Linked DNA regions of Arabidopsis thaliana. The protein of the gene in region 1 interacts with the protein of each later gene in a pairwise test. Each region holds a gene or a part of one and is shown on either strand. Other genes may lie near its edges.

The links. The genes of interacting proteins can lie anywhere in the genome.
Region 2: the proteins of BBX32 (region 1) and BBX13 interact in binary tests that used the Arabidopsis thaliana proteins (3 or more experiments, as listed by UniProt).

The regions. Positions count from the first base shown.
Region 1 is NC_003074.8:7,411,944-7,415,668, forward strand, and holds BBX32 (B-box 32), read right to left. Parts: upstream 1,785-3,725; 5' UTR 1,448-1,784; coding exon 770-1,447; 3' UTR 502-769; downstream 1-501. Other genes in the region: AT3G21140 (Pyridoxamine 5'-phosphate oxidase family protein), read right to left, coding at 1-143; MNS2 (alpha-mannosidase 2), read right to left, coding at 2,186-2,437, 2,573-2,743, 2,823-2,903, 3,039-3,140, 3,233-3,341, 3,536-3,601, 3,700-3,725.
Region 2 is NC_003070.9:9,775,012-9,779,961, forward strand, and holds BBX13 (B-box type zinc finger protein with CCT domain-containing protein), read right to left. Parts: upstream 3,033-4,950; 5' UTR 2,647-3,032; coding exon 1,861-2,646; intron 1,670-1,860; coding exon 1,502-1,669; intron 1,218-1,501; coding exon 973-1,217; intron 860-972; coding exon 757-859; 3' UTR 511-756; downstream 1-510. Other genes in the region: AT1G28060 (Pre-mRNA-splicing factor 3), read left to right, coding at 4,156-4,632, 4,746-4,950.

The DNA.
Region 1 (3,725 bases):
CTGAGTCTCAGCTTCGGGAATTGCGTTTTGGGTAGCGAATTACAAAACCAACACGAAGACTGGGAAGAAGTGGGCAGCGGAGATTTGAGGAGAGGCTTAGTCTGTAAATTGGGTGTGTGTGTTGAAGTGAAGAGAGCTTCCATGGTGGATGAGAATAAGATTTTGGTTGAAGAGTCTTCTGATCTTTCACTATAGGCAGATGCTTCAGGCGTCTTTGTTGAAAGTAGCTTTAGGAATTAGGACTTTTCCAGAGTAGGGTTTGTATAACACACACATACATATAAGGGTTTTTCTTTTTCTTTTGGCTTTTTTTTTATAGTTGGATTACGATTACTTTTGTCCTTAGGAATTACTTTTGATGTATTTTCTATTCTCTTTTGTTTTGTTTTGATGTTGATAATAACGAATTTTCCTTGAAATAAGAAAATCAGTTTCTTTTCAATTTACAATTTTTATTGATAATAACATAATATTCTAAGAAATTATCTTTGTTTAAAAAAATTGGGAAAGAAAAGATTTCAATTTCATCTCAAAAGAACCTGATAATGACTATTGGATTACCATTATTCCGTTTCTAAAATCTTCTTACTGTTGATTAAAAAAATTAAATCTCCTCTAAAGAAATATCTATCATCTCAATTGGTTCAGACCATTTTTAGTTTACGTTGAAAAGAAAGATCAAACAGATCAATGACACAAACTATAATTAAGGCACTAAACACTAAATGTCCTAATTTGCATAATGCGGGACCCATGTCAATAATATTTCTCAAACGTTGTCGTTTTCAGCCCATCCTTCCTCCGAATCCACGCGCCACCGTCTAAGCTGCTGCGTCATTGCACGCGCCAATTTGCTTTCAACCGCTCGAATCATCCCAGCTGAAACTCCAGTCACATCTTCTACTTTCTTTAAATTCTGCCACGTCGTCGTGTTCTTAACGCCGAACCAAAACGCCGCCGCTAAGAACACTCTCTTCGTCGCTCTTGGCCTCGTCTCCACAGCCAAAGCCAAAGACGCATATGAAACGACAGCGTTTGTTAAATCCCTGTTTAGTCCTAACTTACCACACCAATTTACAAAAATGCCATCCGCCACCGTAACCGCAACGGCCTTGGCATTCACTCTGTTTTCCCTCCCTCGCGCTCTGTTTACGTCACGCGTCGTTGACGATAGCTCGGAGCTTGAGACACAGTCAAGAGACGAGCAGCAAGAAGAAGACGACGATTCTGAACAACATGTTGTTCGTGGAGGCCAAGGAAGAAGAGGACCAGAAACGAAATTTTGAGTAAGAGATTTGCAATTTGGGCAGATGACACGCCGGAAATGACGAGCGAAGAGAAAATTTGAGGCATGGAACTTAGCGTCACAAGAACGGCAGAGGAAGGCAGAGTCCGCGGCACAATGGAGATCAGCTTCGGCACCACAAAGCTCGCAAAAGCTCACCATTGAGTCGATCTCTCTGATCACCAGAAAGAAGTGAGAGAGAATTGGTTTGGAATGATGATGGTGGGAAGAGAGATTTAAGGAAGAGATGTAAATGATTGAGGGAGAGAAAGAGCGGTGGAGTTTTTATGGTTCATGGTTGATGAGAGTAGTCTCTTCCACAGTTCACACATCAAAGAAACTTACATGAGCCATAATTTTTTAGGGAAATGAAATGAATGGTGTTTGTAGAATTGGAGAGAATGACGTGTCGTGAGGTTTTGAGGCTGGTGAGATTATGTGGTCATTTTTAAAACTATTACACTAGCCGCCAAGTCATTCGTCTTCCTTTTGGTGTGACGTGGAGATTTAGTCAACACTAATGTCTTTTCAGAGACTTGGTCTCATTGCAAATTGCTTCTTCTTCTTTTCTTGGTTGCTTCCATTACATTTCTTCTGCATTGTTGCAGTCTTTTATATAAACTTTTATACATTGATCTTTTGTCGAATACAAAACAGAAGATAATACTCTTAATTTATAATCTAAGGAGTAAGGATACAAAACACAAGGTGTAAACTGTGGTGAACCTGTTTGGGTTCTGATCCCAACTAGTACAACAATAGTCTATATCTTGAAATCTTTCCAAAAATGGTTTCTTAAATAAAAGGGTCTTTGAATAGCCAAGCTAAATCCAATTGCTCTGTTAAGATATATCCATAGAGCCCCTCCTACGAATCACACTGTGACCTCTCCAGGGAGTTTTACTTCTTTGTTATCCGACCATAATGCCTCTGGCGTATTCTAAATGCCGGTTTTCGTAGCAGTACTTTGTTGGATTGTTTGAGATTTACCTGATCGTTTCGAGACTTAATCTTAAGTGGATGAGCTTCGGTGTTGAATACCCACTCGTCTAAAGGAATGACTGTTGTCGGCGAGAAGAGTAGATAGAGATACTTGAGTGTCTCTGCAAGGAAGAAACTTTGCATCTTGTTGTCCTTAACGCCTGTATTAACCTGGAAATGATTGAAAGAAATAAGAATCTACCATCAGTTACACTCAATTACTAATATAGATGGTGGAATGATATAATTCAATTCACCAAGGTTTTAACAATGCAGGATCTAATTAAGCGCCTACGGAAAACTTACATCCTTCAAACCAACATATCCAGACTCTATGCGCGAGTTCTTCTCAAATGCTTCAAATATATTCCATCCCCACTCTTGATATGTCTTGTTTCCAGTTAACCGCCAGAGGTAAAACAGTGATTCGACAGTTTCTGGTCTCAAGATGTTCCACGACGTTCCAACACTCATGTCCTGAATCATCATGTATACTAAACAATAAATAACGCATAAAATAAACAATGTGTTTGAAAAAGACAGGCAAATGACATACACTCCCAGAGTTGAAGAAATAATTCTCCCCAGCCAGTTTTGTTGGAGTTGATTGGTAAAAGTTATAACATGTCCACGCAAGCTGCAAAATATGTGGAAAATAGCAATAAAGGCTATATCTCAGCAGCCTAAATCAGAAAAGCAGAGAGCGAAAAATTCGAAAGATCTGAAGCACTTACGACGCTATGATCAAAGATCATTCAAGTCATAAGTTTACCTCTTCAGCGAGTGTGAGAAACTTCTTTCCTTCAGCAGGATCACTATACCCAGATGCTCCTAAAGCCAACATTCCAGGAGCAAAGCATGCCAATTCATCCATCTTAATATATATGAGAAATAATGAGATTGGAAATGCCAGGCGATGAAGAATTTTCACGTAATACAATGGAAACAATGAACAGATGGGTTTACCTTATCGATCAAAGAATTTCCACTCTTCTCACAGATATATGTAAACGACAAAGGTGTTGATTTCTTAACCAAGCTTAGCAGACCATTCATTGACTTCTCCCACATATCTCTGATGCCAAGATGTCAAGTAATAACAGTACAAATTATTATTGTTCGGCTAAAGATGTTGAAACTAAAAGACCAGAAAAGAAAAGAAGAACATAGATATCAAGCAGAAAGATAAATGTGATGGCAGCTGGTTGAACTTAGCGGACTTGAATCAATCAGACATATATACACTCAGTAGACTAGAGTTAAACTTACCTATAGTGTTTCACTGCTGAAGTTTTGTTCCCAAACACCCAAACTTTGAGCAAATATTCGTAAAAGCTGTACACAAAATATTAGCCGTCACAAATCAAACCAAAGCAGAACCAGAAGGGATCAGACTAGCAGTAATATAAAATGCAATCAAGTTGGAAAAACACCTGTCTCCCATGGCACCAAATGTTAT
Region 2 (4,950 bases), on another chromosome or scaffold:
TATTAAGATATGAATCCGAGTAGGATGAAGGACATTTTTGAGGGTTCAAGGCGTTTCGGAGAGGTAAGATAAAGATGGAGAGGAGAAATACAGAGAAGAGAATTCTTGATTGAGGGAATTGTTAAACGAAAAATTTAATAGAGAATTGGTCTATTCTTATAGTCACTAAGAGGAAAGTCAGAGAATTAGTTGTCTTTTAAGAAGAATTGTCACCTGCATCGGATCCCACGTCTGCAGAGCTATATGACATTCAAGCATAAACATTATACAACATCCACTACATGTATTATACACTAGAATAAACTGATTGTGGAATTTCGCCTGTGAGTAACTCTTTAAGTAGGGAGATTTATACCTTCTGAATTGGCCAACACAGCCAGAACCACCAAAGAAACAGCAACGAAGAACCACAGCCGCAGATCCGCTCGCCATCTGCGAACTGGACTTGGAAAACTTTGATTAACAGCCATAAGTCAGGGTTTTTAAAACAAAGAGTATCAAGGCGTATTAGCTTGTGAGACTTCAAAATGCTTGGATAGACATGTATATACTGTCAACAGAATATGGTTTTCTAGAAGGTTACAATCTTTTTTAAACTAGATAAGATTCCAAGGTACATAAAAGGGCCAGATAAGGCAATAAAACAGAAGGGCGGCCAGATGAAACGAGACCGGTCTGTACATTTATGAGGCAGTGGAAGTAAAAAAAGTAACTAAGTTTGTAGCTAAAAGGAAGCCTATGTGAAGAGACTTAAGGTTAAGGGTAAGGAGCTTCACTAGCTTTCACAAATCTGCCTCTGACACGCAACCTAGTGTCAGCTCTTGCCTTCCTCGATTCATACCTTATGGTCTTATCATATCTGTTGGCACCCGAGATCCAAGACAAAGGGAGAAACGAAATATGGTATCAGATTCTTTAAGGGAGATGGGCAATAAAAAATTATTAAAGGGGAAAGAAAAAAGCAGCATTTACCTCCGTGTCTTCCTCTTTTCCTTGTAACGCTGCATTGCATCTCCTCTGTTCTGAGCCAGCCGCTCCAGATCAGCCTTAGTTGCAACTAGTCTTGTGGTCTTACAACTAGTTCCAGCAATATGCTCTGTGAAATGCAAGTCACTGGAGGAGTTCGAACCTTTCTCAGAGCCAAAGGTAATTGGACGATTGTTGCTCTCAGATTTTGTTGGTTGTACCTGGCCTGAAGTTGATCGCTTGTAGTCATCCTGCAAAAGAATCCTAATCAGCATCACAGTTAAGTTGCATAGCAGTCTAGCAAATATATATCATAAGCCAAAATGTTAGAATTGGTGGCTTGGTGATGAGGTAAAACAAAGAAAAGCAAACCAGCTTGTAACTTTTTTCTGACTAGGTTTCATGTTCTGAATTCTATCATTCACTAAAAGAAGCAACTGTCTACAACAATTTTTGAGGATGAACGGGAGATGACAACGTATTGTGTTTTAAACACTACTCTACTTAAATGACTAAGGTTAATGAGAACTATTACCTTTTTAATCTCTTTGACACCTTTCACATTAGTGGAACAAGTTTCATTCATATGGTCAACAAAATTGTTGATTGTGAATGAAGAAGCAGCACCTTTCCCTACATATGCAGCTTCCACTCGACTCGTATCCTCAGGTCCCCGTGACTGTCCCAAGTTAAAATCCCATATCTGTATACAAGTTCACAACACAGGTTAAGAAACCTTTCATTTTTTTATCTTCTTGAGAAACCATAAAACCACACAGAGTGACTATATTTGACCTTACACAAAAACATTTCACCACTTAATCTCACTTGCTCATTAACAGAAAAAACTAAACTGTTCTTAGCCAAAAAAATCAAAAGAGAGATAAGCAAAACCTGAGAACTCTGGCCACCACTAGGATTAGTAGTAGTAGCATTCCACTGCTGGTTAACTCCTCCTCCTCCGCCACCATTGATCTCCTCAACATCTCTTGACCATTTCAATCTCTCTGACATCTCCGGAACCATAAGCCCCTCTCCTGCTTCTCCATCTCCATCTCCATCACAAGCACCCTCACGGTCACAATCACGGTCACGATCACCATCATCGCCATCACCACCGACAACACCACTCTTAAGCAACTCCTCAAGCTGCTTACACAATACCTGCTTATACCTCCCACAACTAGATCCACAAGATCCACGCTTCTTAAACGTCGTATCGCTGGGAACAATCAATTCATTAGATCCCAAAACCCAAGAATCCAACTGCATCCCGAAATTATCCATCATCATCGCCATCATCGGAACTTGATTCTCTTCATCTTTCCTCCCTTGCTCCAAATCAAGTCCCCATAAAGCAGCAAGCTCCAACGCCGATGGACAACCGGAAAAACCTTCCACGGCGGATCGAACATGAGCATCGGAAACTGAACAACTTCCGTGAACATCCCAATCACACTCCTGACACAAAATCAGATTATCGGTGAAACACCGAACAGAGACTGGCTCGTTACCGCAATTATCGCAGATCTGAGATCGCACGTGCTTCCTCGACAACAGATTCGCCGTGTGAACTTGCTGATCACAAGGCAAACACAGCTTCGCCGTATCGGCTCTACAAAACAAAACCGCCGTACGCTCGCCGCAGAAATCGCACGGTACTCTCTCCGAACTACTCATAACTGACTCTCTCTCAAAATCCCTAAAATTCGAAATCAAAATCAGAATTTATTTTCAGAGACTAAGGACGGTGAGAAGAATGATGACAAATCCATTTCTCACGTTTTTCATTTTGAACTCTTTTTTTTTTTGGGGGGCTTTGTCAAAATTATCTGCAAATCTTTTGGAATGAAGAAGACAACGAAGCTAATTATTGTAAACAGTTTGGGGTTAGGGATTTGTTTTTCTGTGTTGCGATGTATGGAACTTGTGTATGATGGATTGTTCAGATTGAGATATGTTGAGATCTGACGGTGTAAAAGCGTGCTGAGAGAGTCGCCATTGTTCAGACGGCGAAGCTTACGTTGACTGTGACAGAGAATCTAAGAGAAAATATCTAATCTGCTTTTTCACCTAAATATCTATTTTAACGTATAAAGGGAAAGTTAGTTCAAAGCACATGATTTTTATGGGATTAATTCTTTCCGTATATAGCAATAACTTTTTGATCAGTGTAATAACGGCTGGAATCGTCTTTTTCTGGAACTAGTATTTACGAACATTGCAGCGTAATGTATAGCATATATTTATGTGCATAATAAACTGCTACACACGAGTTCTTGACAAAAGATGTGATAAAATTAAAATCGTAAAGATATTTTAGGATTCATGTTAGATATTTTCTTTTTGTCCATAGACTTCAATAAGTTGTTTTTTTTTGTTTTGAAAAAAAGTATAACTTATTTGTAAAGTGCTATCATTCTGAGGTATAAATATCTTGAAAAAGTTCCTGGGGAGTGGTAACAATCGGAACGATTCTTGACTAACGCATTAAATTTCACGTGTTAGAGAGTTTGTGATTCAGACTATACATAATACAGTATATGAGCGGGTTTTTTCTTTTTTGAGTCAAAGCGGAATATATGCGTTATATACTTCTATATTTGAATTCTTGAGTTTTGATCGAATGTTTAATTTGTGGTCAACTTGTGGAAATCTCTTGGCAAAGAAATCTTATTTATCCAAAAAATAGTTGGTATGAAAACTCTTGGCAAAGAAATCTTGTTTATTCCAAAAATAGTTGGTATGAAGAGTTTGGATTTCTGCTTGTAAGAAAACTGCGACCTGACATCAAATATTTTTCTTTTTAAAGATAAATAGCTTGAATTTTCATATATCTCTATAGAAGATGAATCGTCGATTTTTTTTTTTTTAAGTAAAAGATGATATAAAAGCCCATTAGACTCAAAATTGAAGAACTATCTCAAGAAGGAACTCAAAAATGGGCTTCAGCCCATAAGGGAAGCTTGTAGTCCGGTGATTGGATTATATATCTTCCGGATCCGGTATCGTTTCGCTCCCTTTAGGATTTTTCCGGAAGGAACAAAAATCTGATTCAGAACTTGGTTTCGCTGGTCGTTTTGGTTCTAATCTGAATCGCTGGTTTATTCCGGTTGTGAATTTTCGTATATTTATAGGACCGGCGAATCAGAAGCAAATTGTTGTTAGGAATAAACCCTAAATTCTGCCATGGATAAGGAGAGATATTCCAGGAGCCACCGTGACGATCGTGATCGAGATTCGAGTCCCGACCATTCTCCACAACGTGAAGGAGGACGCCGCCGTGACCGCGATGTTGATTCGAAGCGTCGTGATTCAGATCACTACCGTTCATCGAGGCGCGGCGATAGGGAAGATGAGAGAGATAGGACCAAGGATAGAAGAGGGAGATCTGTAGAGCGAGGCGAGAGAGAAGGGAGTAGAGATAGGGAAAAGCATCACCATGAGAGGTCTCACGAAGGTAGTAAAGAGAAGGAATCGAGGAGCAAGAGGAAAGATAGAGAGGAAGAGAATGGGGCTAGGGATGGGAAGAAGAAATCTAGGTTTGCTGATGGGAATGGTGAGAGGAGGAGCAGGTTTGAGGATGTGGCTATTGAAGTTGAGAACAAAGATGCTCAAGTCTCTGAGGGTTCTGGGGCTACGAATCCAACCAGTGGCGTTACGATGGTGAGTTCTTTATACCTTTTCGTTAATCTTCTTTGTTTGCTACTTGCGATTTGTTCATGATTACCTCTAGTCTTCTTCGCTAGCTAATGCTTGCATTTTCTTTTTTTGTGCAGGGAGCCTCTACATATAGTTCTATTCCATCGGAAGCTTCTGCTGCCCCTAGTCAAACACTGCTCACTAAGGTATCTTCGATATCTACAACGGATGAAAATAAGGCTAGTGTTGTCAGATCTCATGAGGTTCCTGGAAAATCTAGTACAGATGGAAGACCATTGTCCACAGCTGGGAAAAGTAGTGCAAACTTGCCTCTTGATTCAT